Rattus norvegicus: one gene and its partner. The protein of the gene in region 2 interacts with the protein of the main gene of each other region in a biochemical or structural test. Links are inferred from orthologs where the notes say so. Each region holds a gene or a part of one and is shown on either strand. Other genes may lie near its edges.

Region 1 (2,970 bases), on a different chromosome or scaffold from region 2:
AGGGTCAGTAGCAGAGGTTTCAAGACAAAACCAGGCCAGTCACAGGAAGAGGGAGAACAGAGGCCACACATTCTCCAAATATCCAACTTCTACAAAGATGATGAGAGAATTGACTTGCTGAATACCTGCTTCACCCTAGCTGCTTGGCGTTCATTACTACACAGTCATCACGATTCCATGCAACTGTTTAGACAGCCTGGCAGAATTGAAGATATTCTTTTTCTAAGGGAGTGTATTTTTAATTATGTATATGTGTGTATCCATACATGAATGTGTGCAAGCTTCATGGAGAAAGCATAACAACACATGGCCATCCCAAGTGGTAAACTGAAGTAACAAACAGTTGGAGGATGATCCCCTGAAACTCTTGTGCCTAAGTAAAACCTACAGGATGTGAACTGGATCAACCCCAGAGCCCACACTCCTGCCACCATCATACAGGAAACATATGAAACAGGAAAACCCTCACCATCATCTACCCTCCTACCTAACCAAAGCATCTTGCCCACACAGTTGCCTGAATTACCGTTAGAACCTCCCCGGACTAGGATCTCTCCATGGGCTCCATGGCAGTGAAGGGATCATAAGTAGGAGGCAGAGGCCAGAGGTGAGCACAAGGTCTTTTATGAGGCATCAAATATACATTCTTATATACAAGGAGGGAAAAAGACAATGTCTGAACCCCAGCTCCTCTCCATAAGTCCCTCCCACCAACACCCTCCCACAACCCCAAGCCCCAGGGACCCTTTGACATAGAGGGTCCATCTGTCTGTCTGTATTGCAGCCCATACTGGACAGGGGAGAGAAAGGCAGGGACTGTGAAAGGAGCTGAATGTAGGGCAAGAAGAGGAGCTGGGACTTGTAAAAAATATATTTATAATAAATAAACAGGGTGCAGAAGGGCTGGCGAGGCAGTGGAGATTTTGATGAACAAGAGGGGCTTGGGCATTCTGGCTCGCAGCCCCTGCTCTGATGGCTTCAATCTCTGCCTCAGGAAGGACATCTTGGGCTCAGGGTGGTCCTCTGGGAGTCTTTCCCCAGGGCTGATGCTGGGTGCCCTGCCCCAGTGAGATATGTGTGGGTGGTATCTGTAAAGTGCATTGTCTTCAGTTGAAGGTGGGAAAAGAAGGAAGGGGGGGCATGCAATATGGGTGAGGGAGGGCAGTACCCTTCTCATCCCAGACCTGAGCCCCCCCCTCCCCCGCCTCCAAAGTAAAAACCTGTCTGGACTTTGATCAGGATAAGAACATTGCAGGGCAAGGCAAGTTCCTGAAGCCAAAGAGGTCTGGGCTGGGGCCTATTAGGAGAGAGGGCACAGACTGGCTCAAGAGAGGAAGCACTGCCCTCATTGGGGGCCAGCACAAGCGGGGTTCCACCCACGGAGTGCACTGACTGACGGTCTATGTGTCCTCCAGCAGGCAGAAAGACACATGGAGGTGTGTGGCTAGGCCCTGAGGTCAGAGGGCTGAGCCAGCTGAGGTTTGGCCACAGCTCTACAGAGCTCTCTCCTAGCCCCACACAGCCAGAGGAGCTCTGGGGAAAGCCTTCACCTCTGCAGCTCCAGAAGCCTGCCTTCTCCATCAGCTTGCAAGGAAGCTCACATTTGTCCAGAGGTCTGAGGTCACCAACTAGACCTCCAGGGACAAGAAAGAGGAGAGGAAGACAGGAACGGGAGGACGAGGGCTGCTGAGAGGCCCTTACCGCTTCCCAGCACTGCAGTGCCCTATGCTCAGGCTGCGAGTGGCAAGGGCCCTCCAATCTGAAAGGAGACCCCATGGCAACTGCTGGGGGTTGGAAGAAGGGTCTGGAGATATGGAGGAAGTGGGAAGAAGGACACTGCTGAGTGTATATATATTTTGAAAAAAACGAGGAAGAAGTGAGGGGCAAGGTCCCTCTCCTGTGGATTTCCCCAGACTATCCTGTTCCCCAGTACACTCATCCCATTCCTCAGACCACAGTGCTGATCCGGCTTGGCTTGGCCTTGGGGTTTGCACTGGGTGGATTAGCCGTGCCAGGGGGCCCAGAGGCGTGCAGTGGGCCATGGGGGGAGGTGGGTGGTAGGGGTGAATGTGGAGTGTGAGGTGAGGGTGGGGGCAGGGGCGGGTAGGAGGGGTGAGGTGGGATGGGTGAGTGTGGGGACAGTGGTGATTGGGGGTGGTGAGGGTGGGAGTAGGATCCCCCTGGTGGCCGGGACCCAGGGCCCCCAGCTGCACCTGCTGCTGGCATCATCTGTGGGTGGTGACTGAAGATGAAGTGCTTGGGGCCCTGTTTATGGGCAGGAGGGTGCTGTGGAGCAGGACTGTACAGGGGTAACGGGGATGTGGGCTGGTGCAAGGGGTGGCGGCCATGTGGAGCAAACTGAGGGTGTCCTCCAGCCCCTCGTCTTGGGGCTCTGCCTGGCCGGCCCAAGGTATAATGCTGGGGTCCTGGAACTGGGCCATGGGCATGGAAGTGTCGATGTGGCCCCACAGGTGGGGCTGAGGCAGGTGGTGGTGGAATGGAGCCCAGCTGGGGCAGGGGTGGAGGCTGCTGAGGGGGTGGAGGCAGAGGGGGTTGCTGGGGTGGGAGGTAGGGTGGTGGGGCAGGGCCCGGTCCTTGGCAATACTGGGCATGCAGGGCCTGGAGCTTGGACTGCCCATCAGGTAGCACCCCCAGGCCACCATGGCTGTGACCATGGTGGTGGTGGTGATGGTGGTGGTGGGTGGAGGAAGCAGATGAAGACGAGGCAGAGGCCTGGCCTGTTGGCGGTGGTGGCATCTGGAAGGGCCCTTTGCCTCTCTTGCTTCCAAATAGGGAGCCCAGGAAAGATGAGGAGTTGGAGACTGGCCTCTGGCTCTTGTACTCCTCTGGCGGCGGGGGTGGGGGCGGAGGTGGCATCCTCTGGTGAGGGCGTGGACTGCTAATAACAGACCCCTGAAAGGGGGGAGGGGGGGAAGTCAGGCCAGTCTAAATATCCTAAACCCCCAACCC
Region 2 (4,368 bases):
CCTGGAAAACAAGTGCAAATGTGTCCTCTCACATTGTGAAAATGCTGATAATCTCTGAGGATGGGTGGGTGACACTGGCAGTTCACCCTCTCCCCACCCTTAATGCATGTCTTTAAGTCTGTAGTAACACTAAACTCTAAAAAGTTATAAGGTCTACCAAGCCTGTACAAGGCTAAAGAGCATCAATAGAGCAATAAGTTATCTGACAAGGCACACATTGACAACAGTGTTCAAATCACACCAGTAATCAATCTATCAGCACACACGTGTGTGAGGCCTATCCGCTGGGAAGTTACTGAGAAAATGGACATAATGAGAGAAAGCATAGGTCTTATTTGAACGTGTTAGACAGTCCTTACTTAATTTTTTTTAATCTTACTATTGAACCTGGAGGCAATAAACCACCTGGTTCAGTAGTCAGGTGAGAAAAACAGAAATTTCATTTTTAAAAGAACCTGCTGTCTTTAAAAGTCTTAAAAGCCCACTCTTCACTTACTCGCCCACAGTCTACAGTTACTAACCAGCCTAAACTGGATGAATGGGCTCTCTGATATTTAATCACTAACCGTGTCAGGAACTAGTCAGGACTTTGGACTACTTGTCCAACTCTTTAAAACAACGAACTATCTCATATTTAAGATACAGGTAGGTAAGAATAAGACTGTTACAATGCTATCTGTAGAATAAGATAATTATTAGACATCACCTCTGAGATCATTCTCCAGGTCTAAAACTCATACTATAGGAATGTCAAATTTAACAGAGGTGTATATCAAAGAGATGACTGCTCTCGAACACAGCAGAACCCTTCAAATATCTTCAAGGATTCCAGAGAAATACAAGTCAACTACAGAAACACCAACAATAGTTCAGGAACCATTGATGTTCCTAAAACATTTCTACAACTTGTCCATCTTTCAATAGGTAACTCTAAAACTTGAAACGGTATTCTCAGAGGGCACAGAAATAACCATACCAGTAAGTTTTTTCTGGTAATTAAATACCTTTAGAAGCAACAGTGGCCTACTGCAAAACATAAGCACAGTAGAGATGTTCCAAGTTAATGGCCGTCCCCGGAGAGCCAAGCACATTGTCATTCTAAGTTTCACATGACAGAGAAGCACCATGCATTAGTACAGTGGTCACAAGTAAAACAGTTTTAATTCTCACCTATTAAAGCCTGAAAGAGGTTGCTCTGAAATATGCTAATAACCCGCTCTATGGAACTCCTGAGCTGTCTGTCTTCGGTTTGGCTTAGTTTCGACCGATATTCTTCCAACAGATGCAATGCTCTCTGGGTATCTGAAAAGACAAGTACGGTGAAAATTTCATGTATATATTTAGGGTCTGTGTCTGCATGCATACTTACAAGAAAGTGCTACATGCTACGTCTACAAGACATCTAAAGAGTTCCCCAGAGCCTCCAAGTCAAGTGGGGTCAGCGCTACAACCATATTCCATTCCCTGCTAAGACGAAAATACTTTAAAGGCTTTATATCACACTAGAGGAAGGAGAAAGTAGTGGCTGTGGACTGACAGCCTCCAATACTTAAAGACCATCTAATTAAACTGGTAACAACTTGGTTTTAGAATGCCTAATAGACAAGAACAAGTTATCTCCAACTTGGTCCTATAACCAAATTTTAAGTTTTTAAACATCGGTTCTTAGCTACTCTCAGTTGTTCACAAAATAGTGGTGCTATGAATGAAAAGTGAAATACTGAAGCAACGAAGTTTTTAAAAAGACATGGCAGGGGGCTGATTGATTGCTTCAGTAATCACTACAGATGTGGAGAAGGTGTGTGCAGCGAACTAGGTGTTTCCACCCTCTGAAATGATGTGGAGCTTAGATACCGTAAGGAATAAAGGCGAGAGCCTGCTGATTCATCAAAGTCACACAATCCTTTTAAAAACAGTAACCACAACACTGATGTATGTTACAGCCAGTGACAGCCACAAAACAGTTCCAAAATAAATTCTCACCTTGCTTCCGGACCGGCATTTTTTCCCAGAAGCAGGAAGAAGGCACACACACCTTTACAAACACAAAACAGGAAGAAAAACTTGAACTAAGGCAAAGAACTGAACCGTGGATCCATTCGTTCCCCCCCAAACCCCCCACCCCCGTCCCAAACTCTCAACTAGGAAAAACTCCAACCTTGGAGGAACTGCCCACCTTTCAAAGTTTTCCCAAGTGAAAAGCAGGAGCCTCAACCCCCCCAGCAGTGTCAGCCAAGGCAGAAAGCCGGTTCTCGGGGGTCGCTATGCCCCCTACAGATTAAGATCGGACCCAAGCCCGCTTCGGAATGTTCCTCCAGAGCTTCCCCCTCCGCAAAGAGCACCTGAAGAGGAGCAGCCGGGCCGCCGCCGCGGCGTGCTTGCCACGCTCCCCACCTGCTGCCGCCCGCCGGCCCGTGTCCAGCCGCGCAGCGCCCAGCCAAGCGCCGGGTTGCTCCCCCGGCCCGCTCCGGCCCCCTCCTCTCGCTTGCCTGGCTCCTCGCTCGCCTCCTCCCGGCGGCGACTCCAGCAGGGGCCGGACCGGACAGCCGCCGCTCTGTGCGCCGCCCTCGCGCCGCTCATGCACCCCTCCGCGGCCTCCACACCTGCGGCTCCGCCGCAAAGTTCCCGCGAGCGGCGAACGCGGGCGCCCCGGGTGCGCTCCGGCCAGACTCGGAGCAGCTCCCCGCCCGGCCCCGCTCCACGTACCCCGCCCCGCCCCGACTCGAGCTCAGCTGAGGGGGTGAGGGGACGGGGGAGGAGCTCCTCTCGGCGGCCGCACCCCCGCGCCGCTCTCTCCGCCTCGGCCGCCGCCGCCTGCCCTCTCGCCGCCGCTCGCGGCCCCGCTCGCCCGCTCGCCTCCGGGCCGCCCCACCCCCGGAACCTCGCCTCCTTCCGCGCCCCCAGTCGCTCTCCCCCTAAACTTTCCGCCAAGATGGCGGCCCTGGAGCTGGCCTGCCGCGCGCCCACGTGACTGCTTTCCCGACGCCCTCAGCCAATGAGAAGTGAGGAGGCGGCTCGCTCGGAGCCCGGGGCTCCGGGCGCTGCTACCTAGGGGTTGGCAAAGGGAGGAGGGCTGGGAGGGGGTTGGAGTAGTGGAAGGAGGGACCCTTCAGCATCCAGAGGGAAGCGCCTTGCTGAGAGGCGCTCCAGTCGAAGTGGCTCTAAGGACAAAGGAGTTGGCACGCGCTCTACAGGTGGTCCGAAGTGTTTTTGGGACAGCTAGCCTGCCCGTCGCCCTAGCCCAGGGTGGCCTGCAGTTCTGAACTAGCGCGCTGGACTCGAGATGATGGAGACTGAAACAGAGAAGTGACCTCACCTGCGCCAGATCCAAGAAACAAGCTCCAGACACCCCTTAACCTCACTGAACACGTGCTGGCCAACTTCAAGGCTGGAAGAGTACCTGGCACGCCCGGGGTGGATCCCCAACAGGGAAAAAGGAGTTTGTGCAGGCTGCGCCGGTCACCCACGTTAAGGGGCGGAGAAAGAAGGGACTTCGGAGGGGAAGGGGTAATCTGGGTCTTCCACTTTTGACTGGTTTTTAAAGTATTCGTTTGTCCAAAAAGGTTTGAGGAGTTTCATTAAGGACCGGATGTAAAACGGAGACTGATTAGTTTGGTAAACGTTTGAGGGTTTCAGGGGACTTTTAGGTGTAAGTGGTTAACTCCTAATATGAGCCGTTTAATGATGAAATTTTTCATTCATTTATGCCTGCATTCATCTGTGCGTTCATGAATGTGTCCCTGCCCAGTGATGCTCCCAAGAGTTACCCATCTTATGGAGGACCCTTTAAGAAACTCACCTGTCTACCTGGTGGTGGTAGCACAGGACTTTAATCCCAGGATGCTAAGGCAACCTAATCTTTTTGAGTTCCAGGCCAACCTGGGTTACAGTGAGTTCCAGGACAGCCAGGGCTAGACAGAGAAGAAACCCTGTCTTAGGTAAAAGACAAACAAAAAAAGCCTCTCACCTGTAGCTACCTCAGAGACTGAACTACTGCCAGCCCTCACAGCTAGTTTAAATTTCAAGCTCCTCAAAGCAGAGCAAACAGTCCCAAGGGACCCTTGCTCTAGAGTTGAGGCTGCAGCTTGAGGAAGGGGACAGTTCTCCGAGTCACTGCCCAGCTCACTGAGCGGCTTTTAAGCAATAGGAACTTCTCTGCTCCATAGCCCAGGAAAATTTTTCCAAAGTCGTCAGAAGTTACTGAGGCAGAACCAGAAAGGCAGAGACCCATATGTGTCAAACCTTAAGGCTGGATCCGCTTGGATCCAGCTTGGAGATGGTTCACTTGGTTCTTGCCTCCGAGCTGGATGCCCTGAATTCCATTCCTGGGATCCACATGGTCGAAGGCGAGAGGGACCCCCCCCCCAC

Evidence for each region. The genes of interacting proteins can lie anywhere in the genome.
Region 1: the proteins of Dlg1 (region 2) and Iqsec2 interact in a test that uses a peptide from one of them, tested with the Homo sapiens proteins (2 studies listed by IntAct, with this or other methods). The link is inferred for Rattus norvegicus from reciprocal best matches to the Homo sapiens genes DLG1 and IQSEC2.

The regions. Positions count from the first base shown.
Region 1 is NC_086039.1:24,814,204-24,817,173, reverse strand, and holds the end of Iqsec2 (IQ motif and SEC7 domain-containing protein 2), read right to left. Parts: intron 2,914-2,970; coding exon 1,948-2,913; 3' UTR 608-1,947; downstream 1-607. UniProt on the Homo sapiens protein: Is a guanine nucleotide exchange factor for the ARF GTP-binding proteins.
Region 2 is NC_086029.1:82,604,890-82,609,257, forward strand, and holds the start of Dlg1 (disks large homolog 1), read right to left. Parts: upstream 2,909-4,368; 5' UTR 2,490-2,908; intron 2,036-2,489; 5' UTR 2,003-2,035; coding exon 1,984-2,002; intron 1,303-1,983; coding exon 1,171-1,302; intron 1-1,170. UniProt on the Homo sapiens protein: Essential multidomain scaffolding protein required for normal development. Recruits channels, receptors and signaling molecules to discrete plasma membrane domains in polarized cells.